Linked DNA regions of Arabidopsis thaliana. The protein of the gene in region 2 interacts with the protein of the main gene of each other region in a pairwise test. Each region holds a gene or a part of one and is shown on either strand. Other genes may lie near its edges. The genes, in order: WRKY49, HDG2, WRKY28 and AGL17.

Region 1 (5,925 bases), on a different chromosome or scaffold from region 2:
GCTTTTGCATGTCATGTGATTTACTTATAGGATTTTAACCAGTTTTATTGCTATCTCAGATCGAATTTTTAGATTATTATATTGAGTGCAATACAAAACTTTTAGATTATTATACATGCATGTTCATTATAAAAAGAATGAACATTAGACAGTAATATAATTTTTTTTTCTTTTTATTAATGTTTAACAAAATTACAATGCCTTAACCATGAGTATGATGAATATGACTATAACTGCAACGACAAAGTTTTCTTTCAAAACTACATGTGCGAATATACCTATCTCTTCTCATACAAGCTCTTGCGCAATCAAAACAATAACCAATTTTGCCTATTTTAAGTATTTGGTTCAGTGAACGTGGATCGAAAGGACTTGCTACTGGATTGAAAGGATATATTCTCTCTTCTTCACTAGATTCCTTTATAAGTATTGATGTACCTATCAAATTTTGAAAAGATATATCAAATTCTTAAACAATTTTTTGTTGTTGATTATAATACTGATATATTATCCTAATTAAATAAATTTAGACTTACATGAAGAAACAAAAATTAATAGAGTTAAAAATATAAAAATCAACTTCATTTCTTCATAGAAATTAACCAATACCACAAAAAAAAAATTACAAAAAAAATTTGTGAATCGTTTTGAATTCTTTTTTCTTTTGTTTTGTGCTGGAGTTATTAAAACAATATACAGTCATATTTATAGGCTCTATAGATACATATGTTATACAAAGAGTTAATTTTCAAATAAACGTTTTATTTTGTTATAAACGAAAGTTAAGTAACCTATGTATGTTTGTTTTTGTTTTTAAACTATAATTGTTTTGTTACATCATGAGGTTTTCAACCCACCCTACACATGGATTTATTCTATACATATTCATAAAATTCAAATTCAATTAATAGTAGTTATTAAAATGTGTTATTTATTGGTATAACTGATAACATACATCTAATAAGTACATACAATTAGCGGTTTTAAACTTTAAAATTTAAAATTACTATTGAGGCAAACATTTTATTTAAAATAAATATATAAGTCAAGGAACTAATAAATATATATAATATATAAATTGATTAGAAATGATTAATAATTTATATTATATATACCAACTCAAGATGCCTATCTTGCTTTTCTAACAAAACATAAATTACTTTTTGATTCCTTATTTATATTTATGATCTTATAGATGACCAAATCATTTTATTTCATACATGCCTCGAATCTATCCAAACTCTTTGTACATATGTATATCTTTTTTTTTTTTAATTGCGTAAATGATTTCTTAACCAAAAATTCCATAAATCCCCTTATTTGTTTTTCTTTTTTTGAACAAACACCTTCGACTTGTTATCTATAGAGACCATATATTTTTTAAAGTTATATAAACAAAATATTTTAAGATGTAAACTGATTAATTTATAAGATTTGGTATTAAGTTTTTTCAATATTTTTATAAGTTTAAAACTAAAAACATTTTTCAAAATTTGTAGAATTTTGTTCCGGGATCGCTATCAACTTAACGGAAGTGGCAATATCAAACATATTAAATATTTCTTGAAACTCTTTAGATGTATTTATTGTGTAGATGAGCAAAATAAATTTATTTAAACGTAAAAAGTTTAGAAGAAAAATAAAACTTTCTCCGGTTATGATAAAGAAGTTTAATTTTATATTTTTTTAATATTTTCAAATAATTTTTTATTTATCAAGAAGCTGTCAAAACACTGTCCCTGGTAGGAATATTTTTCATTGCCGGAGCTACCACATCTTCTAGAAGCCCTTGTTGCGGCCGACACTGATCAACCGGAAAAAACAATCCCTCTTCGAGATTTGCCGGTGTGTTTTCTTGGGCTTTATTGACTGGATGATTTTGGTTGGTGAGCTCACCTAATTGTGCTTCTTTGCTCTCTTCTTGGGTTTGAGATTTTTTGTTCATATCTTGAGCATTATGTTTATGTATTTTCGTTTTTTTATTGGGCCATTGACGTGTCTTATCGGGTAGGAAGAAAGGGTAAGTATAGTGGAAGTGGAAACCTTCGTAGGTAATGATATATGTGTTAGACTCATCAATTGATCTCTCCACTTGCTTCTTTGCATTGCATATTGGGTTTGTGCACTTGTAATAACTCCTAGACATATATCACAAATATAGTAACATTAGGCTTGTGACCGAAAACTAAGTATACTAAATAAAACTTCCATATGTTGATTTTAATACGTATCATTTTGGCCGAACCAAAGAAGTTCGATATGCATATACAATTCTAAAACGGAGAATGCATATATGTACCTTGGGTTAGGGCTATTTTTGATTGATTTTTGGCCATATTTTCTCCATTTGTATCCATCATCACACATTCCATTACTATTGTTCTTCACCTTTAAAGTGTACCTATCCACCTTGCTCAAAGTACTTCTTTCCAAAAGAGGAACTCTATACATAAATATAAAGGAACTCATGAGTACTTATTATTAAAGGGCTATACTAAACATAAGGCAAAGAGATGTATTCTTGTAATTAAAAAAATAAATATCAATTACTTACGTTGATTTAGAGATTTCTCGGACTGGGTGGGTCAGGGGTTCGACCAAGGCCAGAGCGTTTGCAATATCTTGGATTCGTGGACCGGAGTAAAGTGTTGATGTGACGAACTTGTTGGCAATGAAATCTTCATTTGGCATGAGCCCATGCATATGATGTTGGTCTTGAGGCAGAAAGAAAAGAGGTGGCTCATAAACAAAAGGATCTTCAACGGCGTTGTTTCCACACCTTCTTGCCCACTGATAACCTTCTTCTTCCATATGAGTATGGGGACAAGAAAACTTATGCGAGCTGGTGGTGAGGGGGAGAGGGGGAGAGGGAGAGAGGGATTCTTTATTCTTTTAACTTTTAAGAGTAACGTGTGTTGAATTTCTATTTACTTTTCTTTTTTTGAGGAGGGGATCTACACGAGTTATATATAATACCAAAATTAGTCATGTGGATTCAGTTTTGTTATACTTGAGTTATATGCCATATTATTGTTTTTAATAAATTATCTACATTAATTAATGTGTTGAATTTATATCAATTTATCTTTTATCTCTAAGTTTTGTTTTGCACAACATTATTATAATCGTTAATAAACATAAAAACACTATTATCATTGATTTTTACTTTTTGGAATGTCCACCATCTTTTCACACGTATCGATTTACACTAGTTTAGAGATAGTTTTGGAGGAATCCAAATAGTTTAGATATGAAATGTATATATGTATAAATGATTTTTTTTTTTGAGCTTCTAACTTGTTGCTTTAAAAAAACTTATTATATCCAGAACTATTATTTATACCTAATTAAAAAATTTACCTCATTAGATTTGGCATCGAAATTTTGGACGCGGCAAAATAAAGTTTTCTAACTTCAGAGAGTGAGTCACAGCTAGGATTCCGTGATTGAAAACTAGGAGCATGATGTATGTTCTACTCTTCAAGACCACATCGTCCACATGATAAGAATATCAAACAAATTATGGTCGTTCTTTTCCATAGACACGAGGAGAATGTCTGGGATTTGATAAGTTGGTTTATGCTTATACCTTACGTCAAGATGCATTATGATCGGCTAACTATCATGATCACAACAAAATGAGATAAATTCTCCAAATTGGACTGAATTTTTCTGATATACATCGATAATACTAACACAAAGCACTATTATACATGTGTGGGTTATACATAGTTTTTCTTAGAAATGTAAGGCAATAATGCATATTTCGTATGCACTGAACTTGCGACAGCCTATAACATTACCATTAAATTTAGGGTCATCTTATCATTATTGCTTTTTTTTTGTCTTTAGATAGGTTTCTAGTAATGTCCATATATTTCATGAATCAACCGTCGTGGATAACTTTGAAGCTTATATCTTAGGCCCCATAACATTGATAATATCGAGTTATTTTTGGTTGCTATGTGGCTTTGACTTTCGAACATAAAGACAAAAATATAGTGTGACCAGCTGGTGGACAAAAAACCGTTTGGGTTGACTTAGTGGGTTTAGGTTTTGTTGTCTTTTAGTCATTGAGGAATTGGTTTTGGATCTTAACCACCACGCTTGAAATAGATTTTTTTATTTTATTTTTGGTATCATTTAACAAAGTCAACCGTTTAGTGTTTTAATATTTTGTTGTCTCAGTCATAGTTAACGTTAACGTACGTACTATCTTGTTGTCTCAGTCATTCAAGAAGGGTTTTAAATTTATAGGGTAAATTAGCTAAATAACTTTACAGTTGTAAATATATACGTAAATAACCAATAACAGAAATTTATTGAAATATCGTTTTACTTTCTTTGCCAAATTTTGACCAAATTGTTTTGCGGATGAGAACCATGTTATTTTGTAAAAACATTTGCGGTAAACTGACATTTTTTTTTCGTGGTCTAGGGAAAATGTCTTCTTTCTACCTAATAATGAAACATGGATCTGCTATAAACCCGTATTTCCGAAAATCACATGTTAAGAATTATCATTTAAAAAAAAATTGATGATATCTCATGACGTAGAAAGTTTCCTGAACTACTATAATGTAATACGTAATATGTTATCGAAAAGCGATATTTAGCAATATTCCCTTGAGTCTTTGGCACATGATTTGGCAGAAAATCTTATCGGTCATATTACACAGGCTAAATGAACGAAACTCTGCCATTGATATAGGGAATAGGCCCATGATATTGATAAAATCAAGTTTCCTTTTGTTGCTATGTCGCTTTGACTTGCTACGTAAAGACAAAAGTATAATGTGACTAGCTGGTGGACAAAAAAAGGTTTGGGTTGACTTAGTGGGCTTTAGTGTTGTTGTTGTCTGTGTGATTTGATTGAGGAATTGGTTGTAATGGAAGTTTCTGCTCAAATCATTTAACAAAGTCAACCGTTTAGTTTTTGTTTTTTTTTTTAAATTTGCAGTTTGCATTTATAGTTAATGTTAACGGTATATATATGTAGAGAGTATCAGAATTTTTTGATCCATTCAAGAAGGGTTTTTAAGGATATGGAGTAATAATTTTACTATTTCCATTGTTAAAGTAAATACCCAAACTCTAATAATTTTTTTAAAAAAATGAATCACCAAACAAAAAATAATAATTAAAATGTCTTTTGTATTAACGTATAGGTATGTTATTTTCTTAAATTTCTTGTTGTCAGATAAAATAACATGATTAAAGACCATGCTATCTTTAGATTACACATGAAATTTTGAAAAAAATGAATTGTTGATGAAGAAAAGATTTTCAAATTTTATAAGTTTCACTAATTAAATAATTAACATATATGTTGATGATTCCATGAAGTTTTTCATCAAGTTTGATTTTCACCAATCTCGATTATTTATATTGGAGAGAACCTAGTAGTTCTGACGAACATGAAAACTATAATTGTCATCCATGAAATTTATGATTATTTTGAAAATTAAGAACCAAATTAAAAGTCTTTCAAGAAATCTATAGAAACCCCTTGACATTTATAATCACATTAGAAGTGAAAAATTGTCATGGAAGAAGGTCTAATTGAGTTCAGACAAAACAATTGAACAGGAAATCATCTAAGGAAGTAATATCTCGACATTAAGATGTCAAATTGATGGTTCATGGAAGTTTTATGATTCTACTTGTGCGTTTAAGTTGGATTTGTCAGCAAAGCGATGCACAAATAATGCTACTAGGATCAATATGTCACCGACAGAGTTCTTTGCCTCTTCACTTGGAGATGGAAACATTAATATGAGGTATGAATAACATCCTTACAAGAAGGATAGACCGTCAGGTGTTTGAAACAGATTATGCAGAGTTAGATGAGATTGGTTTGCTCCGTACGTATTTCTATAATTTCTAACTCTTTCGTATTACTCGACTTTAAAAGCCAACTGTTTA
Region 2 (10,153 bases):
GAGATGCGTCCATCCCTGCGGCCCAATGGAACCGGCCACCATGGTCCCCCGATCTGTTCAAAGACAATTAATAAGTTATATACATACTATAGTCTTCAGTTTTGGAATGACAAAATCACTAGTCCATTGCGAAAATGGAATGTTACCACTGCCACGGCATCTCTGGCGACCAAGGCAAGAACATCAGCGCAAGAAATGAGATTAGGACACTTCCTCTCCAGCGCTGTCTTGGCCGCATCCACCACTTCATAACCTTTCAGGGTCAGGTTGGGGACAGCGTCTCTTTCCGCATCATTCTTTGCAGATTTCAGAAGAACGGAACCATCACATCCCTACATGAATCATTACAAAAGAGTGTTAGGACTAGCTAGTTTTTTCATATCCCTTGGTTAACAGTCTCGAACAAGTGAACCAAGCTTACTCTGACGAAACAATCATGGAAATGCATCCTTAGAAGTTTAGCGGCAAGGGTTTTCTGGCGAGAAACATATTGTACTGTGACACCACGAACAATTTCCTCTGCCTTGGGACACTTAGACCGGTAGTAGTCGAGGTCAAGCAACTGTGGAATGGCGACAGAAACTCCAACCACGCTAAGAAGAACCACAAGGGCGAGAATGTTCTTGATCGCCATTACCGTCTCTCTCTCCTTTCTTCGTTGAGTGTTTGCCAAGTAAGGTGAGAACGAGCTTTGGAGATGAAGATGAAGGAGACATTCTCAGGCCTTTTATAGATCACCCAGCGGCTTTGAAATAGTCCATGGAGAAATGCCAAACAAGATTTAGATAATCCCATTTGCATTTTTCCTCTGTTTCTTAATGAGGGTTGAAATACAAGAGGAGCTCGAGGAGGACATTGCATGGCCTCCACTATCTTCTTGATCTCTGCTGGTGCTGCAATTAAATATATTAAATTTCCACAATTAGAAGAAATCGAAATCATGCAACGATTAAGAAAGCTTCAAATCATCTTTTGCGCTTTGAAAAGCTATTGACTTTGGAGAAGATGTAGTTTGGGGAATTTTTTTATTAGTCCTTAGCTCTCAAAAGTTAAAAACTATAATAAACTGTTATAGTTTGTGGAATCCACGTTCCTGCATTCTCAATGTAAACTATCCAAGTTGCTCAATTCAGTGATTGGATATTACAATATACGGCTAGTTTCTTGTGAAACAAGTCGTCCTATAGACTAATGCAAAACAAAACAAAAAAATCAATCATTTTCCTTAACTAACTTTCCACTCTCGGAGAATGAGACTTTCGGCCTTGCCATTCTCGTTGGGGATAAAATATATAATGGGCCAAAAGTTTACTTCCGTCTTATGGCCCATATACGAAGCCCAGAAACAAAAAAAAACTACGATCTTGAATTTATTACAAAAGCATCCATTTTTTCAACAGAAGAATTCCATTTTGAATCTCAGATTTGATCATATTGGCAGAAAAAACACTAATTGAAATAAACTAAAAGTTTGACAAAAAAAAGAAATAAACTAAAAATAAATATTTGAGACTTACGAGGATGAAACAAACTTAAAATGTGAATAGTATTGTAGCAATTCTTTTTTGAAATAATTAACTTTTAGTGATGTAGCAGGAAAAAAGAAAAAACTAAAAAAAAAAAAAAAAAAAAAAGAAAAAACTAAAATGTTAGGCGTTGAATTACTAGTTTTTTTTAGTAGGAGAGTACGAAGAAGGAAGAGGAGGTTAAAGTGCAAGAGAGGCATGAGAGCAGTAAATGGCCTAAAGCCCATGCAGCCTCTGTGTACACATTTAATGCGTCGAAACTATTCGCCACCCTATCGCATACGTACGTACGTATAACTCCATCTATATATCTGTACCTACATATATACAGTAAAAATCAGAAATAAGTTGGGTTATTGTTTTTTTATATATAGTTATTTTAAAGAATCTAGGTAAAGTATAAACTTACTGAAAAGAAAAACTTGAGTGTTAAAGCTATAGCTATAAGGACTTTAAAAAAAAAAACAAAGCTTAAGAACTAGGTAATTAAATACGCAGTATATTTCTCTATATATTCGCGTGATAAATTAAGATGAATGCATGGCTTTTACAAATTATCACCTTTTTAATGGGTGATCCGTATTTTAAATAGCTTAATTGCACGTTATAGTTATAAATGCTTGGGCCACAAAGTAATTAATATTTCTAGGCATGTAAAATGAAGTCTTACTGTGAAAAAAGTGATATTTCATTGACTTCCTTAAATTGAAAAAACAATTGTTTCGTAAACAAAACTCAAAATTAAGGTGATGATTTTTAGATTTTCTTCTTTTAAATGAAATAAAATAAATACATCACTCAATCAACTTCTGTCTGACTAACAATAATACAACCTAAACTTCTATAATATTTAAGAAAATGCCATGTGGAAGAAGAATCATGAAATTTTCCTTCTTTACAATTAAATTTATAACAAAGATATGAAATAATAATAAAATAAAATAGTTAAAAATATAATAGTCATATTTTTTGAAAGTAAAAATTAAATTTATATCTCATAAAGATAAATATTAACTATAACAAGTCATTGAATTTTAGTTAAAAAACTATATAATTTTTTTCCATATTATAAATAATCTAAGAGTATTAAAATTTCAGAAAATTACTTTTAAAATTGTATCCTTGACAAATGGGGACTATTGTCTAACTTTTTCTGTAAATGGAGAACTGTATTAAAGCAAATTTCAATATAGTTAAATCTTTTTTTAATATAGTTAATTTTGTTAAGTGGTGATTTATTGCATATGCATAAGTTATGAATAATGCTAATGATTTTTTAAAAATAACTACATATCTAATAGATAAATGTAAGTCTCATAGGCTCATAGACCGTTAGCCGTCATTCCTCACCACATTATAATATTTTAAATAAATAAAAAATAAAATTATTTTAGGTTGACATTGTATATAAGATGAAAAACAACACATAATTTTGTAACATAAATAAAATAAATTGTAACATATCTCTCTCTCTCTATATATATATAAGCGTGTAGGATAATTAAGTGTCCCTCTCGCACCATTTAATTTCATTGCACCCTCTCAATTCTCTCTGTCATTACTCTCTCATCTCTCTTCCTCCAAGATTTGCACCTACCTTTCAAACCTTTTGCTCGCCAACAAAACCGCGCTTCACAAAACCATCAGCGGTTTTCCGAGAAACAAATCTCAGACCAGACACCGCTCTACTCTTCTCTCTCTCTCCCTCTAGGGTTTCGTCGCTTCTTCCTATATCCCAGTGTATGTCTCGAAAACCTCATCATTTCTGCTGTTTTCTTTATTTTATCCATTAATTCATGTACACAAATTTATTTGTTTAAAGTATCATTGGATCCATTACACTTCAGTTTTCTTAGCATCTTTATAAAACTCTCACTTTCATGATGTTTTTTTTTTATAATTTAATATATCCTGTATGTTGAATTTTCAGTTAGTCATCTATATTTTGTCTTAAATTTTGCCTTCTTTAGCATTAATTAATTGATTTCTTGCCTCTAATATCTTTCATTCCTCTCCTAATTTGCTTTCTGACTTTCTGATTTATTGTATTCTTCTTTAAATAATCTTATCAATTTCTGCATAGTCAGAGATGAAACCTTCAAGAAAACAATAAAGAGGAAAGATTAAAGGTTAGTATTCCCTTGCCTACCAAAAAAAACAGAAAGGTTTGTATTCTCTTCGTATATCCTTATTTTCATTATACGTTTGGTTTTATATATAAACACGTGTATATACTTTATAGTAGTAGTATACATTTACATATTAATGTGTGTAATAAAAACGTTTAAATACGATGATGATGATAAGAAATAGCTGGAAAAAATTAATACATCACCCAGGCCTTATGTCACGTTGGTTGTAAGTTGTATAATAACTATATGTTGGTCCGTCGCACAGGTGCACAGATATAATACTATTTTTTTCATTTCAATTTTTTTTTCTTTCTTAATCGCCAAATAGTAGTTTACACTTTTTCCTGAAGAGTTTTTATTTTTTGAAAATCTACTAATGATTATATTTAATTAAATTTTGTTTTGTTCTCACGAAAATATTGTTTTTTTAATAAACAGGATAGAGTTGGGAATTTATTTGTACCTACTTTTTCCCATTTTATTTGCTTTGAACAAATGAGTCCAACATTTCTCTTTTCGTCTTCTCTTTCCTATCCCATCTAAATCAAAACTGATCAAAATACCTCGAAATTTTAAATTAAATCACCATCCATCAAAGCTATTATAGTGTAGAAATTTTAAAGTTTTTTCTTTGGACAACAATTGATTTCCATCTACACTACATATGATATGACTCTTGAATCAATCATAGTTTTTATTTCAGTCTGCTGATTAGTTTTTTTCTTTTCTTTTAAAAGGGTAAAAAATCGGTAGTTTCGAATAATTTTGAGTATGTGAAAATTCATTATTTTTGGGTTGGTTATTCAATAACAAATTAATTTGTGATTGTGATGTCTTTTTTATGCAAGGCTCTTTTTTCTTGCTTTCAATTAGTGGGTCCTTTGTTTCCTACAATCATCTCCAATTCTTCTGTTTGCTTATATCATTTTGTATGATCTTCAAGAAGAAAGATAAACGACTCCGAAGAAAGATTTAAGTTATTGTTGTTCATACAAAAAGAAGGTTGTAAAGTTGTTGACGTGGACAAAAGTATTGCCATATTTTTCCAGCCTCGAAGAAATTTCCCTTCTTCTTCAAACCCTAAATTTTGACAAAACTCTCTACTTTTTTTTGCTTCTAGGGTTTGCTTTCAGTTTCCGGAGTATAAGAAAAGATGTTCGAGCCAAATATGCTGCTTGCGGCTATGAACAACGCAGACAGCAATAACCACAACTACAACCATGAAGACAACAATAATGAAGGATTTCTTCGGGACGATGAATTCGACAGTCCGAATACTAAATCGGGAAGTGAGAATCAAGAAGGAGGATCAGGAAACGACCAAGATCCTCTTCATCCTAACAAGAAGAAACGATATCATCGACACACCCAACTTCAGATCCAGGAGATGGAAGCGTATGTGTTTAACTTACTCACTTACTTCAATTTTCTTGTGTGTTTTTTGACAATTCTTTTGTTTTGGTTGTTAAATAGGTTCTTCAAAGAGTGTCCTCACCCAGATGACAAGCAAAGGAAACAGCTAAGCCGTGAATTGAATTTGGAACCTCTTCAGGTCAAATTCTGGTTCCAAAACAAACGTACCCAAATGAAGGTATACTTTTTATATTATGAACATATATACATTAGTTAATGGATCTATATATATTAGAGAAAATATATATACTTGTTAATTAAATTGTTATTTCATTCATATTAAGTCTTGTATATATACATTGAAGGGCTTATCTTTATACTTAAGAACATTTTGGGTGGCTGGTGTTTTCTTTCAGAATGAATTCATTGACTTTTGGCAGATTTTAGATCTAGTTGAGACACTTTGACTTAAAATTTCTTACTTATTTTTTTTTTCAATTGAAAAGTTGTTCCTTTGGCAGAACTATATATTTGGCGGATCAAGCTATAGAAAATTGTTTGGTTGTAACAACATTGCCTATTTATTATCTTAGTTAGAGCCATATATAATCTATAGATTGAAACGTTTTGGACACATATGCTTACGTTATGCAAATACGGTGAAACACATAACGTGTACACGAGTGTTTTATTTGAAACATACACTTTTCCTCTTTTTAAGTAAAATCCTTTGTTCCTTCGTTTTACCCAAATTAGAAATAAATCACTTGTATAAAACTTTAGAGATAACCGGAATATAAGTTTTATTTGCGCAGAATCATCACGAGCGGCATGAGAACTCACATCTTCGGGCGGAGAACGAAAAGCTTCGAAACGACAACCTAAGATATCGAGAGGCTCTTGCAAATGCTTCGTGTCCTAATTGTGGTGGTCCAACAGCTATCGGAGAAATGTCATTCGACGAACACCAACTCCGTCTCGAAAATGCTCGATTAAGGGAAGAGGTATGAGAATCAACTATTTTAAATGTTCAAATAATGTTAAGAGTTTTACACTTAAATGTTGTCAAGAAGATAAAATAAAAAATTAGAATTTGTTTTTATACCACTAATGTTATATCGCTTTCACAATAATCATTTCTTTCTTCATAAAATAAAAACTTTTATAGATTTGTATTGAAATTAGAGAATTTAAACATTTTTTTTTCATTGAAGAATAGAAAAAATTATGATATTAAATTGAGATACTAAAACGATATTTTTGGAACTGTAAGGAGTAGTAGTACATAATAACAACATTACTCAACGTTTCTTCTTGTGACCAAACTTTGAAAACCACAAGGATCAATAATCTTTCTTATTTGTCTGTTTTAGATCGACCGTATATCCGCAATCGCAGCTAAATACGTAGGCAAGCCAGTCTCAAACTATCCACTTATGTCTCCTCCTCCTCTTCCTCCACGTCCACTAGAACTCGCCATGGGAAATATTGGAGGAGAAGCTTATGGAAACAATCCAAACGATCTCCTTAAGTCCATCACTGCACCAACAGAATCTGACAAACCTGTCATCATCGACTTATCCGTGGCTGCAATGGAAGAGCTCATGAGGATGGTTCAAGTAGACGAGCCTCTGTGGAAGAGTTTGGTTTTAGACGAAGAAGAATATGCAAGGACCTTTCCTAGAGGGATCGGACCTAGACCGGCTGGATATAGATCAGAAGCTTCGCGAGAAAGCGCGGTTGTGATCATGAATCATGTTAACATCGTTGAGATTCTCATGGATGTGGTAATTAACATTTTCATTTTACTTAAAAGCAATCTTCTCTGTTTAGTTTCAACAACATTGATATGATGTTGCAGAATCAATGGTCGACGATTTTCGCGGGGATGGTTTCTAGAGCAATGACATTAGCGGTTTTATCGACAGGAGTTGCAGGAAACTATAATGGAGCTCTTCAAGTGGTAATTTTTTTTGCTTTTATTCTGTAAAAATTAAATTTCAAACTGAAATAACCACTCTGTTTTGCTTGCAGATGAGTGCAGAGTTTCAAGTTCCATCTCCATTAGTCCCAACACGTGAAACCTATTTCGCACGTTACTGTAAACAACAAGGAGATGGTTCGTGGGCGGTTGTCGATATTTCGTTGGATAGTCTCCAACCAAATCCCCCGGCTAGATGCAGGCGGCGAGCTTCAGGATGTTTGATTCAAGAATTGCCAAATGGATATTCTAAGGTAATATAATAAAAACATTAGGTTATACAAAATGTTTACTTAAGTAGAGAGAATTAATGTAACAGGTGACTTGGGTGGAGCATGTGGAAGTTGATGACAGAGGAGTTCATAACTTATACAAACACATGGTTAGTACTGGTCATGCCTTTGGTGCTAAACGCTGGGTAGCCATTCTTGACCGCCAATGCGAGCGGTTAGCTAGTGTCATGGCTACAAACATTTCCTCTGGAGAAGTTGGCGGTATAACCTACTGTTTGTTTCATAAACAGTTTTCATAATCAGAGTCAGAGTCAGAATCACAGTTCTATATTAATGAATATGCAGTGATAACCAACCAAGAAGGGAGGAGGAGTATGCTGAAATTGGCAGAGCGGATGGTTATAAGCTTTTGTGCAGGAGTGAGTGCTTCAACCGCTCACACGTGGACTACATTGTCCGGTACAGGAGCTGAAGATGTTAGAGTGATGACTAGGAAGAGTGTGGATGATCCAGGAAGGCCTCCTGGTATTGTTCTTAGTGCAGCCACTTCTTTTTGGATCCCTGTTCCTCCAAAGCGAGTCTTTGACTTCCTCAGAGACGAGAATTCAAGAAATGAGGTAACTATTTTAGTTACTACGCTCTCTTGTTCTGTTTTGGACAGAGTTTTGATGTTTTTGTGAGATTTTGCAGTGGGATATTCTGTCTAATGGAGGAGTTGTGCAAGAAATGGCACATATTGCTAACGGGAGGGATACCGGAAACTGTGTTTCTCTTCTTCGGGTAAATGTGAGTTACACCGGGTTTTGAACTATTGTTATAATCATCTGATCCTAGCTAAGAGTTTTCAATCTTTCTTTATGTCACAGAGTGCAAACTCTAGCCAGAGCAATATGCTGATCCTACAAGAGAGCTGCACTGATCCTACAGCTTCCTTTGTGATCTATGCTCCAGTCGATATTGTAGCTATGAACATAGTGCTTAATGGAGGTGATCCAGACTATGTGGCTCTGCTTCCATCAGGTTTTGCTATTCTTCCTGATGGTAATGCCAATAGTGGAGCCCCTGGAGGAGATGGAGGGTCGCTCTTGACTGTTGCTTTTCAGATTCTGGTTGACTCAGTTCCTACGGCTAAGCTGTCTCTTGGCTCTGTTGCAACTGTCAACAATCTAATAGCTTGCACTGTTGAGAGAATCAAAGCTTCAATGTCTTGTGAGACTGCTTGAAAACCATCCATTAGGTACTACTTTCACTAAATATATTCTTCTCGCTTTTACGCCATTATATGATGTAATCATATTTTTCTTCTTCTTTCTGCAGGAAATAACAAAATGGTGATGATGGAAAAAAGAGAGAGATTTCAGTTTGAGAAAAGCGGAGGAGTCAAGATCGAACCTCACAAGAGAATACCATTGAGTGTTTGTTAGTGTTAAGTTTTGGTCTGCTTATTTGATGAAACTAAGCAGTGAAAAACTTTTTACTTGAAAGTGAATATGTAGATGGTTTTACGAGGTTCGGGAATTTGACTTCCCCTGTCACATACTGAATTAGACAAAAACAAAAACTAGGTTAGAAAGAATGCTTTCGGATTTCTTTTTGTGTTACAGTTACTGTTTTTCTTTCCTTCTTGTGGTTAGATGGACCATCATCAGGAATTTGGAGTTTGTCTTTCTTTTGTATAAATATCTTATACAAGTATTTTGGTACTTTTGTAAGCTTATGTGAGTTTGTCTAGGGGAAAGCTCACACTTTTTTTTACCAGACAATGAGTGTCTCTCAAAAGGGCCATTGCCAAGTAAATTTACCTTTTGGTTCTGTTTAGGTTAAGTTCAACCAAGGAATTGTTGCTGAGTTAATACTTGAACAAAATTTCTAGAAGGGATAATGTTTTCACATTGAACATTCATACCATGTGATAAAGTAAAGTTTTCAAATGAGAAATTACCCTGGTTTATCCTCAAGCAAGCTTTCTCCTGGCTAAAACAGTTGATCTTTTGGTCGAACAAGTCACCAGACCACGAAGCATTGCCAGAATTGCAAGACCCACGAAAGGCAAATACGCCAATAGCAATTTGTTAGTCACCTTCTCTGAACCTATCATGTCTCCAAGTATAGCAGCCTAGAGATTCACAAAACACACAAAAACAAAACGTGAAAGAAACTTACAAACAAAGCGGTACAATCTAGCCTTCTCAGAGAAGCAGAGCAATCACATATACTAAAATATAGAACTCCAAAAGAATTTTCGTTTCCAAATCAAGAAAGTTGTAACATTTACAGATCAACAACATCAAAAACAAATATACATAGACTGAGCCAAATGAAAATGAAGAGAAAGAAGAAAATGTACCATGGAAGTGAGGAAAGAAGCTCCATACAACAAAGAAGTGGTACCAAACCACGACTTGCTGGTAAGAATGGCGTAGATGTTGACAATGGAGAGAGGCAATAGGAATATGATCTCATGCCAGACGAGTCCAACGAAGAAAAGAGGCTTCTCTATGAAGAGGTAATCGTTGAACTCAGAGCTGTACCAGTCTTTCAGATCGGTGAGGAGCTTCGGGTAGATTCCAGGAAATAGTATTTGACCGTTGAGAAGCGGTACATTGATAGCCATCAGTGCGAAGAAGAAAAACAGAGAGATGTTGATCAGCTTCCCCAAAGCTCCCATCTTTTTTTGCCTCTCTCCCGAGTCGTTGACCACAAAAATGAAACAGAAGAAGAAGAAGAGACGAATTCTTGAGATTCACGCACGGTTTATTTAATTGTTGGTTTTACTTAACCGAACCAACAGACCCGAGCTATTTCTCTCTTTCTAATTTTTATAACTAATTGCTGGTTTAATTACACCGAACCAATTCAAACAAGACTCAAAGAGGACCAAGTTAAGACCCTAGTCCAGTGGCGCGGAACTGGAAGAGCACAGGCAGT
Region 3 (6,234 bases), on a different chromosome or scaffold from region 2:
AAAATTGACGTAATAAATTGATCTTTCTTTAGATATAAGCTTATTTTTCAATTTAAAAACGGAGCTTTTGTATGTATTTTCTAAAATAATATAATGTTTGTCATATGATTGTAGTTGTCTAGGGACTAGGGGGTTTGGCAATTACTTGATTCTCCCGGAAGATCTTTTATAACTTTGCTTCTCTTTCTAACATTCTGGCTTCCTTTTTTGTTTTTGTTAGGTGAATTTGATAACGACCCCGAAAACAAAACCAAAATCATTATCACCGAGATTTCTTTTTATAAGCAAAATAATATGAAAATACTAAAATAAATGTTCCATCTAATACAGATTTGTGTCAAATGGATTTCCCGTATGATTCAATATATGATTTGACTTGGTATATGATCATTTTAATAGTTATCTGTGTAGGCCAAATCATTCTTCAGTCAAAACATGTACATATTTAGTCAAAATCTAGAACATAGAAAGGATTTATGTATATATTTAATATGTTTTCTCAAAGTTGCTATAACATTTTTGCGAATATACCTTAGGTTTGTAAGAATTATATGTCAAACGTAATTTTATGACTATATTGAAAGAATGTTTTCCAAGAACACTCCAATGCAAATTTTACCAGTGATGATAATTGTGAATGTGTCATAACATTTAAAACCTTTAAGAAACGTCTTTAAACTAAAAAAAAAAAAACTACTGTATTTGAAGTGATTTAATACAAATTGAGTATGATAATTGATAATGAAAAGATTCGAGATTGGACATATCAGTTGAATTTCAAAATTTAAGAATAGTTTTCAAATAGGAAACTGAAGTTACATTGGAGCGCGCATGTTGAAATTTCAGAAATCCACATGTTCTATGATCTCATGACTCGTTCATCTCATGATTTCAAGTTTCAGCTAAATTCAATGACTTTGGTATATGACACAAATGCGCTCCCAAATAATAGTATTGCTTATTAATTCAGAAATTTGGTCCTCTTGTTCCTCATAAAATACTTATATATAGAGAATCCACTATTACTTTGTTGCCTATACTTTCATTTGCACAAACACATTTACAAGTTAATATATAAAGAGATCTTTTTCTAAGGTTCTTCTTCGCATCCTTCTCGTTCCTTCAAATTTTTTTTGTAATTCATTCACTCTTTATAAATCTGAGATTTGATATATAATTTTATTATTGTTTAGTATTTTCTTTTTATTTTTCGTTTTTTGAATTAAAACATTGTTTTCAGTTTTGATGGTAGGGGTAATATTATTGGTCCACAGTCTATGTTTCCATGTGTGTGTGGATAAGATAGAAAGCAGAAGCAGTCAAATCTTTTATTCGGGTCCATTCTCTTAGGACACAAGGTTAGATCTCAACTTGTTTTGTTTTTTCTTTACTTGTTCACACACATAGATATTCGTCGTCTACAACTTGAACCTTTTATATCAACACCCTTACATTAAATTTCCGATTCTAATTTCTTCATCACATATGAGCTTGTAACTTTTTTTTGTAATTTTTGATTATTAAGATATAAATCAGTAAGAAGTTGACCATTTGAACTTGTCAATTTAATACTTAAGTTTCCCAAAAGCATATGTATATATTATAATCAACATTTGGGAGATCAATCGTAGGCTCCTAGCTAGAGTTATGTCTTTTTCGCTTCTACATATGATAGTACAAATTACACAGCATAATATCATAATGTAAAAAACTAACCAAAAGAAGAAAATATAATTTCACAAAATGGAAGCGAAAATATGTATCCAACGGTAACACATTAAACATCATCAAATATATAAGCAAGCCCAACTGTCTCATTCTTTCATGAAAAAATATGTACATGCAAATAAGAGAGACAAAATAAGATCTTAAGTTACATATAAGTTTTTTTTTTCTCTACCTCTCTCTCTCAATATATATAATATATGTAGTTATAACAATGATCGATCAAGGCTCTTGCTTAAAGAAAATTGAAGGAAAAATCTCCCTCAAGAGCTCATACTCACCCCCTTGATGATACACTTGGTGAGAACTAGGGTTTGAATTCACACTACCATAACCACTTTGTCCATATCCATAATCCAAAGCCGCCGCCACAGAACCGCCGTTAGTATAAGCTGCCGTCCTAAACATATCATGTGCAAAGCTTCTTGGAGTCATGAGGTCTGCGGAGAACATAGCAGCCGCGGCAGAACTTCCTCGAAGATTAGTCGGAATCGGGTGGTTGTGTTGACCCTCGTAAGTTGTAATCACAACCGTTGGATCTTGGAACGATCTCTCCACTCGTTTCTTCACGTTGCACTTTTGTGTTGTACATCTATAGTAACTCCTATTTTCGTTTCCATTGGCTATTATCAGTTACACTATAATGGTCGCATTTTTCTAAACACAAATTTTCACAAGCCTAGCAATTTCAAAAAATAAAAAGGGAAAGTTTAGTTACCTTGGATAAGGGCTATTTTTTACAGCCTTTTGGCCGTATTTTCTCCATCTATAACCATCTTCAAGATGATCAACTTCACTTTTAGTCATAAACGAGACTCGTGGCTCTCTTTGTTTCTTCACCTCAGTCTTTTTCGTTTTCCCACTGAAAAATAATACACTATAAAATTAATACACATGCTAGACTAAATTCCTAAACGAAGAGATCAAATGATGTTCAATGTTTTGCATAAAAGTTCCTATAGAGTTATGACTTACACTTTTTTGGAAATTTGATCTTCTTCACCGACTAACTCTCGTTTCCTCCGGCTCTTACCGGAATCTTCACCGGGGTGATCAGCCTCACTAGAGGAAGAATTAGAAGGAGAAACCCTAGTTTCAGTCTCGTTGCATGCACCACCATTGATTACGTCATTAGTAACATCACGGTTCGGTTCTTGATCGATCGAAGAATTGAAAACCTCTGAGGAAGAGGGAGAAAGACCAAAAGTTTTCTGAAGTAGAGATTCATACGCTGCTGGAGAACTTTGGAGACAATCGGTGAAGGAATAAGTAGATGGATTAAAACCGTTTTGTGATGGGAGGTTTCCATAAGAAGATGGATTTGAAGTAGGCAGATTCATCATTTCGTGCAACGAAAACGATGAAGGGTATTGGTAGTTGTAGAGATCTCTGGTTTCATTAGACATGGTGAAGAACAATGAAGAGAGAGGTAAAAAAAGAGTAAAGAAGACAAAGAAGAAGAGATGAGATAAGCCTTTTAGGTTTGGGGATTAGGTTTTTAGGTTTTTTTCCTAAGAGGTCTAGATTGGTGCTTGGACTTTAATTTGGTCTTCGTCTCTCGTTCTCGTATTTATGCATTTTGAAACTCAAAAAAGGAAGAGAGAGAAGAATAATATGATTTTGGCTACTTGGTTTGGAAATAAGTTAATTAAGTAAAAGTGTATTGAGATATAATTCAATGGTACGTGTGTGAATCCAAAGTCGTGTTAATACTTTTATTTTTCTATCAACTTTGTTTTTTCTTGTTTCTTAACTAATCTCAATTTAAGTTGTGTAATTTTTTCCTATGCAAATTAATTTATATGTTAAAAGCTTTCATAATATTTCTTCCTCACGTTATTTTATCAGTATAATTTTGAATTCATATACAAAAAGGTTCAAATAAGTCTTTTTAATGTTTATCAGTCAAATGTACATAAAGTTAATTATAAATTAATAATGTGAACGATAAGCAACTTAATAGATAGGTATATATATATATATATATATTCAAGAAATAAGATATAGAAGTAGATGATAATTTTATTTGTGATATCATGTTATGCCTTTTGAATGACTTTTTGGTTTCGGGCAATAAGAACTTTACGTAAAGCTAAGTTGACAAAAATAGAGCTGCAAAACTGGCTTCTAGTGAGGAAACATACTTAAGCTTCTATATTTTTAATTCAGAATATGCTTACTTGCAAGTATTTCTATACCACTAAATACATTTCTTCGAGTCTTTGCATTGTATCTTCGTATAAATTTCCTAAAATTCTACTTTTATTTTTCCACATTTGATAAACATGCATAAATTTTGGGTTATTTTTGTGTGCTGCCTTTTTTATGGGGCCAAAAAGTAGGACATGAAAAGTTCTCACCTTCATTTTCTTCCCCACTCTATACGTGGCATATATAGTGGACGGGCTTGATAACACGCGCTACGACTAAACGGCGCGTGGAAGAAGACGACGTTATTGAAGGAGTCTTAGTCAGCGAAGACTATGTGTTACCGGAAACCGGAAACACTCAGTCACCGGCCGGTCGTTTGGTGTGAAGAATGCAGTAAGAGGCAGTCAAAGATTCAAAGGGAAAAAAGTTTACGAAAACAAAAGATTATATTTTGGGAGTATTAGGCTGCCACGTGGAAACACTTGCACCGGCATTTGACCGTCGCCGACACATGACCTGGCACGTGCTAGAGACTGTCTTCTCTTCTTCTTCTTCTTTTTCCCTCACTGTTTCACGAACCTTAATAATTATTCATAGGTAATTCCTAGTCAAGAAGCAATAATTTAGACCCTACATATTTTGGTTATAAAATATGAATATATGAATCTCTTGATATTCAAATTATTTTCATGTTTTTAGTGTAAGATTTGACCCAAAGAATCATACATTGCTAATAATTTGCTATAACATTCAAAGAAAATTAGTTACTATGGGACTTTAAGTGACGTAGCTATGTGGAGTGGATCGTTACTTATGCTGACGGATAAGTGAGATCATGATTACGCAATAACAATTTCTTTTTCACATTAGAACTTTCTGTTTGCAAGTAAAAGAGCATCTTAATTTATTAACTTATATTAAGGAAAAGATGGTCAAACCAAAAGTATCTATATTATGAAAATGTTAACATTATGATAATTACGATAAACCCTTTATATACAATTTTATTTGCGATAATTGTGGGGAATTAAAGTTGCATGTTATGAACCCTATGCTTGATTTATATAGCTAGTAATCGTTTTCATGAGTTTGTAGAAATTGATAGGAGCATATGATCAGGAAAAAAGGAGACATATAATGCCTAACCGACATGACAAATGCGAAGGGGACATACATCAACTTTAAATGTGGTCAAAGTGATATATTTACTACTATGAAAAATCACTAAAATATGGCAAGATAAAAACAAATACTAGCATCTTGGAAGAAATCGGTTTAATCACTAAAAATTTGATATGTCATGGTCTTTTGGTCACAATCCATTTTTTTGGTAGGTGAAGGATTCAACTCTTTTTTTTTTTTTGGTCACACCTAAGTTTTTGGATTACAAATTATCGTGAATTACGTATGATGATCTTAATGCGTTTAATAATCACTGCTATATTACCTAGCATATTACGGATAGCGCGAGAATACATACATATATATAGTCAGTGTCTCAGTGATACTCAGTATAAAATATTGGAATGAATCAAAATACTATGGCTTTGGTATATAAAAATTTGATCAATGAAAGAAGGGCATAATAATTTCCATGTTTTTAACGCTTTTTGGTCAAAACAAACTACGATGAAAAACGTTTTCGAGAAAATCAATACCAATCTAGTAATCTTTGGTCGAAATAATTAAGAAGACCGAATAATTCTCTTTGAACCAAAAGAGACATTAACCATTCACATTTGACCAAGAACATCAAGGCGTATACATACTTTAATTTGGGAAAGAGAAACAGCAACTCTTATCAGATTCCATATGAGTAATAGAATAATCTCTAAACCAAAAAAAATTCAATCTTCGAAGTCAAATATATATTCAATCTTCTATTGCATACTATAATAATGCCATAATGGTGGTATATGAATCTGTTTCTCGTACCTAACCACATTAATGCATACTAAGATATATATTAATACACATTTATAGTTTTAATTTAGGCAGAAACTAAACGCCGTAATTGGTGCCTAATCGTTTGCGTTGTCTTATCCATAAGCCCCACATTTAAATTACCCAAAGTTAGACCGTGGACCTCTATGTAATTTGTAACCTGTAAGTGAAAAAAAAACATTAGCTTACAATTACACGTATACATAACTGTATCTGTCTGCAGTTGAAATGTCTGACCTATTTTTGGGGATTTGTGCCTAACATATAAAGATATTATTATGAAATTTATTTCTACTTTCTAGTAAACACATAATTATTACATTATTTAAGTTTCAATTTAACGTAAAGAAGAATAAAAAGAAAGAGAGTGAAATTGTTGACTTTAGCTTTGGAATAGAATAGTTGGGGCAGGTT
Region 4 (8,651 bases), on a different chromosome or scaffold from region 2:
TTCCAAAAACATTTAGAAAATGTTGTGTACGAATAACTTTATTGGTTAACGCAATTCTGTATCCATATATAAGAGTTAATGTATAAAATATGGCAAATCGAAATTGTTAATGAATTCAAATATTGAACTCATGGCCAACAACCTTGGAACATTTAGTACAATTACAACCAGTGTTCAAGTTCCAAGGACTCAAATTTCAACCTTCAATTAAGTAAACTATGTAAGAACTCAGAAAATAAATGTAATTTTATGGAGTATTTGGAATTAAAAGCATCAAATGGATAATGATAAAAATGAGTTCTCTTTATGGTATGAAGTTCACGTGAAAGAGTACTAATCTCGAATGTATCTTAGTTCAGTAAACTGGTGAATCCGACAATAGTTTTGTAGCATAATATAATGACGAACGTAACATTTGTATGATAATGTTGCAAAAAATAGTTTTTCTCTTCTTCTTCTTTTTTTCAAATACCATTCAAACCTGCGAAATATAGACTTGGCCAAAAATATTATAGTACTACTTTTGTTTTCGTTGTATCGTTTTCATTGAATTTTCTTTTTCAACTCGTTTAATTACTGAATATTACTGTAATTACCGATCAAATTCATATATATTTCCAAAAAGATTAAATTAATTTTTTATTTTTATGAGAAAACCAAAACCTTTTTTAGAAGGATCAAAATGGGACATTGACGGCTGATGGTTGACATCTGGCAGGTAGATTTGTTTTTGTTTTTCTTTTTCTTTTTAGTTTCATTTTAAGGATAAACATTATCTTGTGTTGGAGACTCGAGATCTGATTGGTCGAAAGAAACCCACGTGGTCACCATGTTGTCATTTTAGGTCCCACCTAAACTCTTCGATAGCTTTAAGCCTTTAACAGTAGTGAATCTAGTGATACTAAACTTTACTAATTAGGATTTAGGAAGAACCTGAAGCGAATTCACTTAAAGCACTAGATTCAAAACTATGAAGCATAGAATAGTAATTTAATATCTGTAAGTGATAAACTTTCACATGCACTATAATAATAATAAATGATCATATTTTGGTAAAACTATGATCGAGATCCCTCAGAACTTAAATATTATAAATCCTTCTTTTGGAATCAAACTAGTGTTTCTTAGTTTATATGTAAGGCCACATTTTTTATCGAAAAAAAAAGTGAAATATATCTGAAATCTGATATGTACTTTAGAGATTTATACATTTTCACATGTATTGATCGTTTTTATATATTTGGCCAACCTATGATCGAAAGCTCAAAAACTGAATACATAAAAAAAAAAATATACATGAATCAAGAAACTTGATTTCTTGATTCTATCATTTTTTAACCTAATTTTATTTCATCGTACTTTTTTTTTTTTTTGACAATTCCCTTACTCTTAAATCTTAACTCATGTATCCTTAGAAGTTTTGCATTTTTTGGTCCGAAAAGCTTCTCCACTGGATCAGTTACCATTGGCCAAGTAAGTTTAGTATCCTCACCAACATCGAAAATCGAGATATTATTGATGCGTATTTCTTTTGAAAAGTCTCCTTTCAACAAAATTTAAGTTGTAAGGCTGAACATTATAGGTTGAAATAAAGAAATTGCTCAGGTGTACGAAATTTAAGCCGAGGACAAAGGAGCGTGCGAAAGCATCTCCTAATTGGTATCCTCAGGAACTGTTTCTGCTACTCTCACGTGTATGACTCTCACAAATTTGCATATTCCACCATATAATATACAATATATTATATATATATATATACTTACATAGTTTGATAGTTCAAACCAAATAGTTACAATATAGACGACTTGATATTAGTTGGAATTCGATGGCCATTATCATATTAATTGAAACTTTAAAACCAAACGTAAATCCATTTCTAGTTTGGTTTACTTGGAATCGACGGTACTAAAAAAAATTTGGTCTACAGATGTTGTAAGTCTCATATTGAAAACGGTAAGTCAAATAACCAAGTTATATTTTTATTAAGCATATATTGTCTGCGTAATGAGACTTAATTAGGTCATTTAGTTCATGTATAATACTGTACATAAAGTCAAGTAATTACTAGTACAGGGTAAATTAATTAAGTTCTAATTAACGAGTTTTGCTCATTCTCTTATATGCAAAAGTTCGCCTATATGGAAACTTGCAATAGATCTTAATATATTGGTAGAATGGAAATGTCCTCAACTCCTAATTTATGTGTGACACGTGTTAATAAAATCAATTTTGTATTTTGTTCTATTATAGAAAACTATCATCAGTTTTTAATATTCTCTAAAATCCATCTACCGTTTTCAAAGCTTTTTTCCCGTTATATATTTTACATAATTTTTTTGGGTAAAATGGAGATATCAAATAAAGGAAGTTTATTTGTAGTAGTATACATTTCTTCGGTTTCAGTTTTGATTCAGAAAGTTTATTTTTTCTATGTAAATACTTTATAATACTGTTCCTTCTGTCTCATGTGTTCTATGAACTATGTGTATACTGTATACATATTTTAGGTTATTAACTTGGTACGATTACTAATTAGCCCTCAAGCTGTATCGACCAACACAACGACTCAAATAGATAAAAACGAAATCCTTAATTTATTCCTCGAATACATTGTTGACTCTTACTTCCTTCTTATTTTTTTCTTTTCCTTTTCTCTCTCTCTATTCTCTTTCTCCTGATTCGTTCTTCTTCATCTTTCTTTGGCCTTGCGAAGATCTAGAAAAACCCTAGAACGCACCAAGATCTAAAGGAAGATCAAAATAGGGTTTAAATTAATGGGGAGAGGGAAGATTGTGATCCAGAAGATCGATGATTCCACGAGTAGACAAGTCACTTTCTCCAAAAGAAGAAAGGGTCTCATCAAGAAAGCTAAAGAACTTGCTATTCTCTGCGACGCCGAGGTCTGTCTCATCATTTTCTCCAACACTGACAAGCTCTATGACTTTGCCAGCTCCAGGTTTCTCTCTTCCTTTATTCAATTCTTAGATCTTTTAACATCTACATACCTATAGATCTACATCTATCTATGTATTTGTATATCTATAATAAATGGAACTATATATAGGTATGTACGTACTTATATAATATCATGTGTGGGTTCACTACAAGAATATAGGCTATTTCTCTAAGAGGGTTTGGATTAATTCAATGATTTGTGTTTGGTAGCGTGCATTTAGTCATTTGTAGTAGTATACATTTTTCTGCATCTTGTGGCGATAACGCTCTCTATATTTCTGTGTATATATACAAGGTGATAAATGTATGAGCTAAGGAAACTTAATTTTCAAAGGAAACTTAGTTTGAAAGGAGCTTAGGATGCCAAAGCAAAAGAAAACTAATTAAAGACGATGACTAGTGTAAAGATGAAAACACACACTAATTTGAAGTAGGCTCATGGCAGTGTGTGGACATGTGTGTCATTGGTTGTAAATTGTGTATGTGGCTGACAGTGTGTCTTTGCCAAATTTAGAAACATTTGAGTAGAGAAGATAGTAATTAAAGCTAAAAACAAGTATAACGTTGGAAAACTGAAAGAGTGATAAATGGGAGTGTATAAGATATCACTACAATCAATTGTGCATTTTTAAGGATATATCATACATTTGGAGATGATATATGTAAACTGATAAAAAAATTACCCATCTACTTGTATATAAGCATATAAATCTCAATATTTTGTATATATGAAACTACCCAAGAACGATAAGATGACTATGTATTTTAAACCATAAATGACTGCACAATTTATTATGACAAAATTTTGAAGTATTACATGAGAATTTTTTTTTTTCGTTTCAGATTTTCCAAATGTGAAGTATTCATATTTACTTTTGAAGATCAAATTTATCATGTGTAAAAGAATCTTATATATGTATAAATCATCGTGAATCCATTTCCTGACCTATATATATATATATATCATATTTTTCTTATGTGATAAAAATATAAAGCCTTCTTAATAATTTTAAAGATTGTGAAAAAAAATCAAGGAAGTGATGGATTTTGTTTTTCTTTTCATTAGAAAATAATTTTATTTTGCCACAAGGAAGCAAACATTATGAAATGCTTATAAGTTGAAATTCTTAAAATGAACAGTGTGAAATCTACTATTGAACGATTCAATACGGCTAAGATGGAGGAGCAAGAACTAATGAACCCTGCATCAGAAGTTAAGGTACGTATAACAGAAATCACGCAGCACATAAGAGGGGAAGGCAATTATTAGTTAATATCTTAATCATGTGTTTGTATTACTATGCTTGAGTTTGAGAGTTGATCGAGTTAGATTGTGTTGCGTGTTGTAGTTTTGGCAGAGAGAGGCTGAAACTCTAAGGCAAGAATTGCACTCATTGCAAGAAAATTATCGGTATGTATTTGTTCATAAACTACAAAACTATGAGTAATCATGTGTTTCTAACTCCAAAGTAAGAAGTACTGATCTTAATTGTATCCTTTTTGCTAAGAGTTGATCTTTTCTCACATGATTTCTAACTAAAACTTTTCTCTTTCTAATTATTTTTGTTTAAAACTGTTCAGCCAAAATTTGTGCATTTAACATAATAAGGTAACAAAATGGATGTTATGCGCCTAATATGTTTAAAACAATGTATATATACTTCATCGAGTCGATTAGAGAAAGCGGATTAATCCTAAAAAATTTGCACAATTGAGACTAACTTTAACTTTGCACTACCAGATTTAATAACCCCACACTCTATCATTTTTCTTTAAAAAAATTATTTCAAGAATGATAGATTTGGAACCAATTAGTTCATACCTAGTTTCAATGGTGTAATCTCATGAAGATTCATCCGTTCTCTTTAATCTACTCGATGAGATTAATTTTCTTTGAATTAAATTTTGTTATTTTTTGCTTTCAAGTATTTTCCGTTTAATCTACATTCTAGTACTATACTCCGGACCTCTAGCATTTTATTTCTAAAATTTTCTATGTAAACTTTTTCCTCCGGATTGTACAACCAATCACTTATGTGTTTAAGGGTAAGAAAAATATGTATATGTTGAAAACTCGACCATGATTGTTCTGTCGGACTGGTTCATTTCTGAAATTAGTCGAGCGGATTAAATTGGTTGTAGTTGGCCATGTCCGTTCTACATATATTAACTGCAGTAATGTTTTGTGATAAATCAGGCAACTAACGGGAGTGGAATTAAATGGTTTGAGCGTTAAGGAGTTACAAAACATAGAGAGTCAACTTGAAATGAGTTTACGTGGAATTCGTATGAAAAGGGTAATATATGAATGCTCTAGGCCTCTAGCTGGTTCGCATGATGCTTAAAAATTGATAATAGAGCATTGAAGTTTAAGCTAATTATTCTTTTCGAACCTTGCAGGAACAAATTTTGACCAATGAAATTAAAGAGCTAACCAGAAAGGTAAACTATATGATATAACACATGATTATTAAAAATCAGACTCGGATGTTGTTGTTTGTGTTTACATTGTAAACACACATAATTTGCAGATGTAAAATGCAAACGATATTTTTAGTTTCTTCTTCGGTTTGTGTTTGCATTTGCAATTTACAAAAAAATCTGTTCTTTGAGAAAAGATACTAAAGATGTTGTGTTTAAGTTTGAAACGCATTATTAATCAATGTTATCATTTCTAGTTTTCAGGTTCTTATAAGTGTTTTATCTTTTGCAGAGGAATCTTGTTCATCATGAAAACCTCGAATTGTCGAGAAAAGTACAAAGGATTCATCAAGAAAATGTCGAACTATACAAGAAGGTAAAATAGAAACACAAACTTCATTACTTCAAGTTGCAGCTAACAAATCCTTTAAATCAAATTAATCTCCTAGTTGAAACTAGACAAATCTCAATAATTAATTATTGAGATCGTACGTAGTTACAAAAGTGTGTTGTGGTAATGGTCTTGCATACAGGCTTATGGAACGTCGAACACAAATGGATTGGGACATCATGAGCTAGTAGATGCAGTTTATGAATCCCATGCACAGGTTAGGCTGCAGCTAAGCCAGCCTGAGCAGTCCCATTATAAGACATCTTCAAACAGCTAAGATCATATAAGAGATATATAACAAATTGTTCGTTCTTGATTATCTCAAAACCCTTTCAAATATATATACGTGCATATTATATATGAAGACTCGTTTGACTATGTCAATATATATGTTTTCATGCAGGAGTAAGTGTGAGTGTAATCATGTCGGAGAGCAAACCAAAGGTTTGATTTGTACGATATATACTTATATATGGTCTCAAGTGAAAGCAATGGAACAGCTTCTCGATTATATTCTTTTTAGCTTTCACATTTGGTTTTAAGTACATAATTAAGACATACATGAACTACATATATAATATATATTTTAACTAAAAAAATTGAGTGTGATATAGGTTGGTTTAGTATATAAGCTATACTTTACCTAAAGTAAAATCAGAGCTCACTTTTGTGTGTGTGTGTTTGTTTTTGTTAGTCATTGAGATTTTTAATAAAGGGAGATTCATTTGAGATGATTGCTTCTATAGTTTAGAGAAAATTTGCAAAACAAAAAGAGTATACTATATATTGTCGTTTCAGGTAAAACGATGCAAAAAGTCAGCCTAGAAATTAACGAAGTTACATGACCATGACCAACATATGAAAACTGCATTGTTTAACATATCTCTGAAAAGATTATGTTTTTGGTCGTATTAAAATAACAAAAACGAAGTAAAAAAAATCTCAGATGTGAAATCAAACTAAGAGGAGCTAGGAGAAGAAAAATAAACCCTAATTTCCTTGGGATGTAAATTTTCACCGGTCGTACAATATAGGATTTTATGTGATTCAAAATTTTAGTCCAAAAGTAGAGGGTTATAAGTTTCTCGGTTTGAATAAATTAATTTAGTGATTTTGATTTAGCGCTTAAATTTGATTGTAAACACAGTTCACTCTATTATATACTATTGTCCAATATTTTGCATACTGTAATCCACTTTTAACCTACAAAAATATTGATATAATTAGTCCGGTTTACTGCTAATTGAACAACCATTCAAAATTTGATTTGTTGTATAGACAATGAGTTATGCCTCATCAGAAATAATCACAACTTAAAATTATTCTAGTATGATGAAATATGTGTTCTGTTTTGTAAATATTATAGATACAACCTATAAATAGTTATACAAGTTACAACCAATGAGCATACCGAATAATTCACTTGACTTTAAAACAAACGTATCTTGAATTCAAAGATTAAAGATTGGTTGTAATAGTATATATGCACGAAGAACCAAGAATTGCTCAATTTTTAATTGATAGTGACATTTGAATAGAACGAAAAAGATTGAACACTAACTAAGCAATCTACCAAAATATTAAACCAAACCACATAATATCAAATATCTTAAATTATAAAATAGCCCCTATATTTCCTCTTTATCTCATAAAACACCCGTTTCTTCTTCTAATCTTAACTTCTTCTTCATCAATCACACATCATCTAAAAGAAAAACAACCTACGATAAAATTCAGAAACTTTTTCTCTGAGACACCAAAAAAGGAAGGTGACCCTCCTTCTCTAATCGATTGCTTAATCATTTCTGCCGTTGGATTGAATCGAAAAAGGGCGAATTATTTAAAAAGCTTCAGAATTTGAAATCGAAATCTGTGAGTACTGTTGTGTTTGTGGAAGAGAGAGTTTTGGGGTTTAATAATGGCGAAAGCTGGAGGGATCACGAACGCAGTAAACGTAGGAATCGCTGTTCAAGCAGATTGGGAGAATCGAGAATTTATCTCACATATCTCTCTTAATGTTCGTCGTCTCTTCGAATTCCTTGTTCAATTTGGTAAACCTCACTCTCTCACTTATTTCTCTGTGTTGGGTTTTGAATTCAATTGACTAATTTTGGAGTTTTCTCGATTTCGTATTTGCTAAATTTAGAAACTTTGTTTTAGAGTTTTTGTCAAAGTAAGGTTTTTGATGATTGGGAGATTTGATTTTGGTGGTTGGTTAGTGAAAAATTTCACCTTTTTAATTGTTGAGATGATCAGATTTCATTTGCATTTGTATGGTCTTAGATCCATGTGCTAAGAGAGATCTTTGTAATGATCTCTTTGATCTTCTCAGCTTCAATTCTAGCTGGTTTTAGACAATGTTGTGTGTGATGAAACTTTCTTTTATGAGCTAATTTGATTATCGAAGTCATTGATGTCTGTGAGTTTGTAATTTCTCTGTGTGTTTCAGAATCAACCACAAAGAGCAAGTTGGCTTCTTTGAATGAGAAGTTGGATCTGTTGGAACGTCGCTTGGAAATGCTGGAGGTGCAAGTAAGTACCGCGACAGCAAATCCTTCTCTGTTTGCGACGTGAAACACCGTAGACGATATCGAAATCGAAACCGAGCCTGATCCTTTGGCTTTAACAGAAGAAGTCTGTTGTTGAATGTGTACCATTGAATGATTCTTTCTTTCTTCACATAGCTGTGGTAGTAAGTAAACTAGTAGCTTAAAATATGAATCTATTCATAAATATGTGTATCTTTTTTCTGTCCATTAAGATCTCTTTTGAATGACAAGTCATTTCGTTGAACTCTTGAAGTTTTTGCTTTCTTCTGCTGTTGATTTATAAACTTTGCAGAGGTACCCTTTTCATCTTCTATGCATCGGATTTGTATATTCGT

Evidence for each region.
Region 1: the proteins of HDG2 (region 2) and WRKY49 interact in a two-hybrid assay, tested with the Arabidopsis thaliana proteins (one large-scale study listed by BioGRID).
Region 3: the proteins of HDG2 (region 2) and WRKY28 interact in a two-hybrid assay, tested with the Arabidopsis thaliana proteins (one large-scale study listed by BioGRID).
Region 4: the proteins of HDG2 (region 2) and AGL17 interact in a two-hybrid assay, tested with the Arabidopsis thaliana proteins (one large-scale study listed by BioGRID).

What each region holds. Positions count from the first base shown.
Region 1 is NC_003076.8:17,370,273-17,376,197, forward strand, and holds WRKY49 (WRKY DNA-binding protein 49), read right to left. Parts: upstream 2,950-5,925; 5' UTR 2,812-2,949; coding exon 2,555-2,811; intron 2,444-2,554; coding exon 2,300-2,443; intron 2,139-2,299; coding exon 1,715-2,138; 3' UTR 1,536-1,714; downstream 1-1,535. Other genes in the region: LURE1.1 (Putative membrane lipoprotein), read right to left, coding at 203-438, 537-585. UniProt on the Arabidopsis thaliana protein: Transcription factor. Interacts specifically with the W box (5'-(T)TGAC[CT]-3'), a frequently occurring elicitor-responsive cis-acting element.
Region 2 is NC_003070.9:1,511,683-1,521,835, reverse strand, and holds HDG2 (homeodomain GLABROUS 2), read left to right. Parts: upstream 1-2,935; 5' UTR 2,936-3,266; intron 3,267-3,609; 5' UTR 3,610-3,655; exon of another isoform or gene 3,656-4,778; 5' UTR 4,779-4,811; coding exon 4,812-5,053; intron 5,054-5,131; coding exon 5,132-5,249; intron 5,250-5,826; coding exon 5,827-6,015; intron 6,016-6,384; coding exon 6,385-6,798; intron 6,799-6,872; coding exon 6,873-6,974; intron 6,975-7,045; coding exon 7,046-7,246; intron 7,247-7,273; exon of another isoform or gene 7,274-7,311; coding exon 7,312-7,486; exon of another isoform or gene 7,487-7,570; coding exon 7,571-7,842; exon of another isoform or gene 7,843-7,915; coding exon 7,916-8,011; coding exon of another isoform or gene 8,012-8,032; exon of another isoform or gene 8,033-8,091; coding exon 8,092-8,448; 3' UTR 8,449-8,462; exon of another isoform or gene 8,463-8,536; intron 8,537-8,542; 3' UTR 8,543-8,935; downstream 8,936-10,153. Other genes in the region: AT1G05240 (Peroxidase superfamily protein), read right to left, coding at 1-53, 147-332, 422-634; AT1G05220 (Transmembrane protein 97, Putative), read right to left, coding at 9,180-9,341, 9,573-9,893. UniProt on the Arabidopsis thaliana protein: Probable transcription factor. Involved, together with PDF2, in the regulation of flower organs development by promoting the expression of APETALA 3 (AP3) in the epidermis and internal cell layers of developing flowers.
Region 3 is NC_003075.7:10,058,405-10,064,638, reverse strand, and holds WRKY28 (WRKY DNA-binding protein 28), read right to left. Parts: upstream 3,426-6,234; 5' UTR 3,132-3,425; coding exon 2,701-3,131; intron 2,588-2,700; coding exon 2,444-2,587; intron 2,330-2,443; coding exon 1,948-2,329; 3' UTR 1,746-1,947; downstream 1-1,745. UniProt on the Arabidopsis thaliana protein: Transcription factor. Interacts specifically with the W box (5'-(T)TGAC[CT]-3'), a frequently occurring elicitor-responsive cis-acting element.
Region 4 is NC_003071.7:9,615,598-9,624,248, forward strand, and holds AGL17 (AGAMOUS-like 17), read left to right. Parts: upstream 1-2,609; 5' UTR 2,610-2,774; coding exon 2,775-2,956; intron 2,957-4,095; coding exon 4,096-4,174; intron 4,175-4,304; coding exon 4,305-4,366; intron 4,367-5,152; coding exon 5,153-5,252; intron 5,253-5,355; coding exon 5,356-5,397; intron 5,398-5,668; coding exon 5,669-5,752; intron 5,753-5,909; coding exon 5,910-6,044; 3' UTR 6,045-6,071; exon of another isoform or gene 6,072-6,170; 3' UTR 6,171-6,566; downstream 6,567-8,651. Other genes in the region: BRK1 (BRICK1), read left to right, coding at 7,686-7,818, 8,217-8,341. UniProt on the Arabidopsis thaliana protein: Probable transcription factor.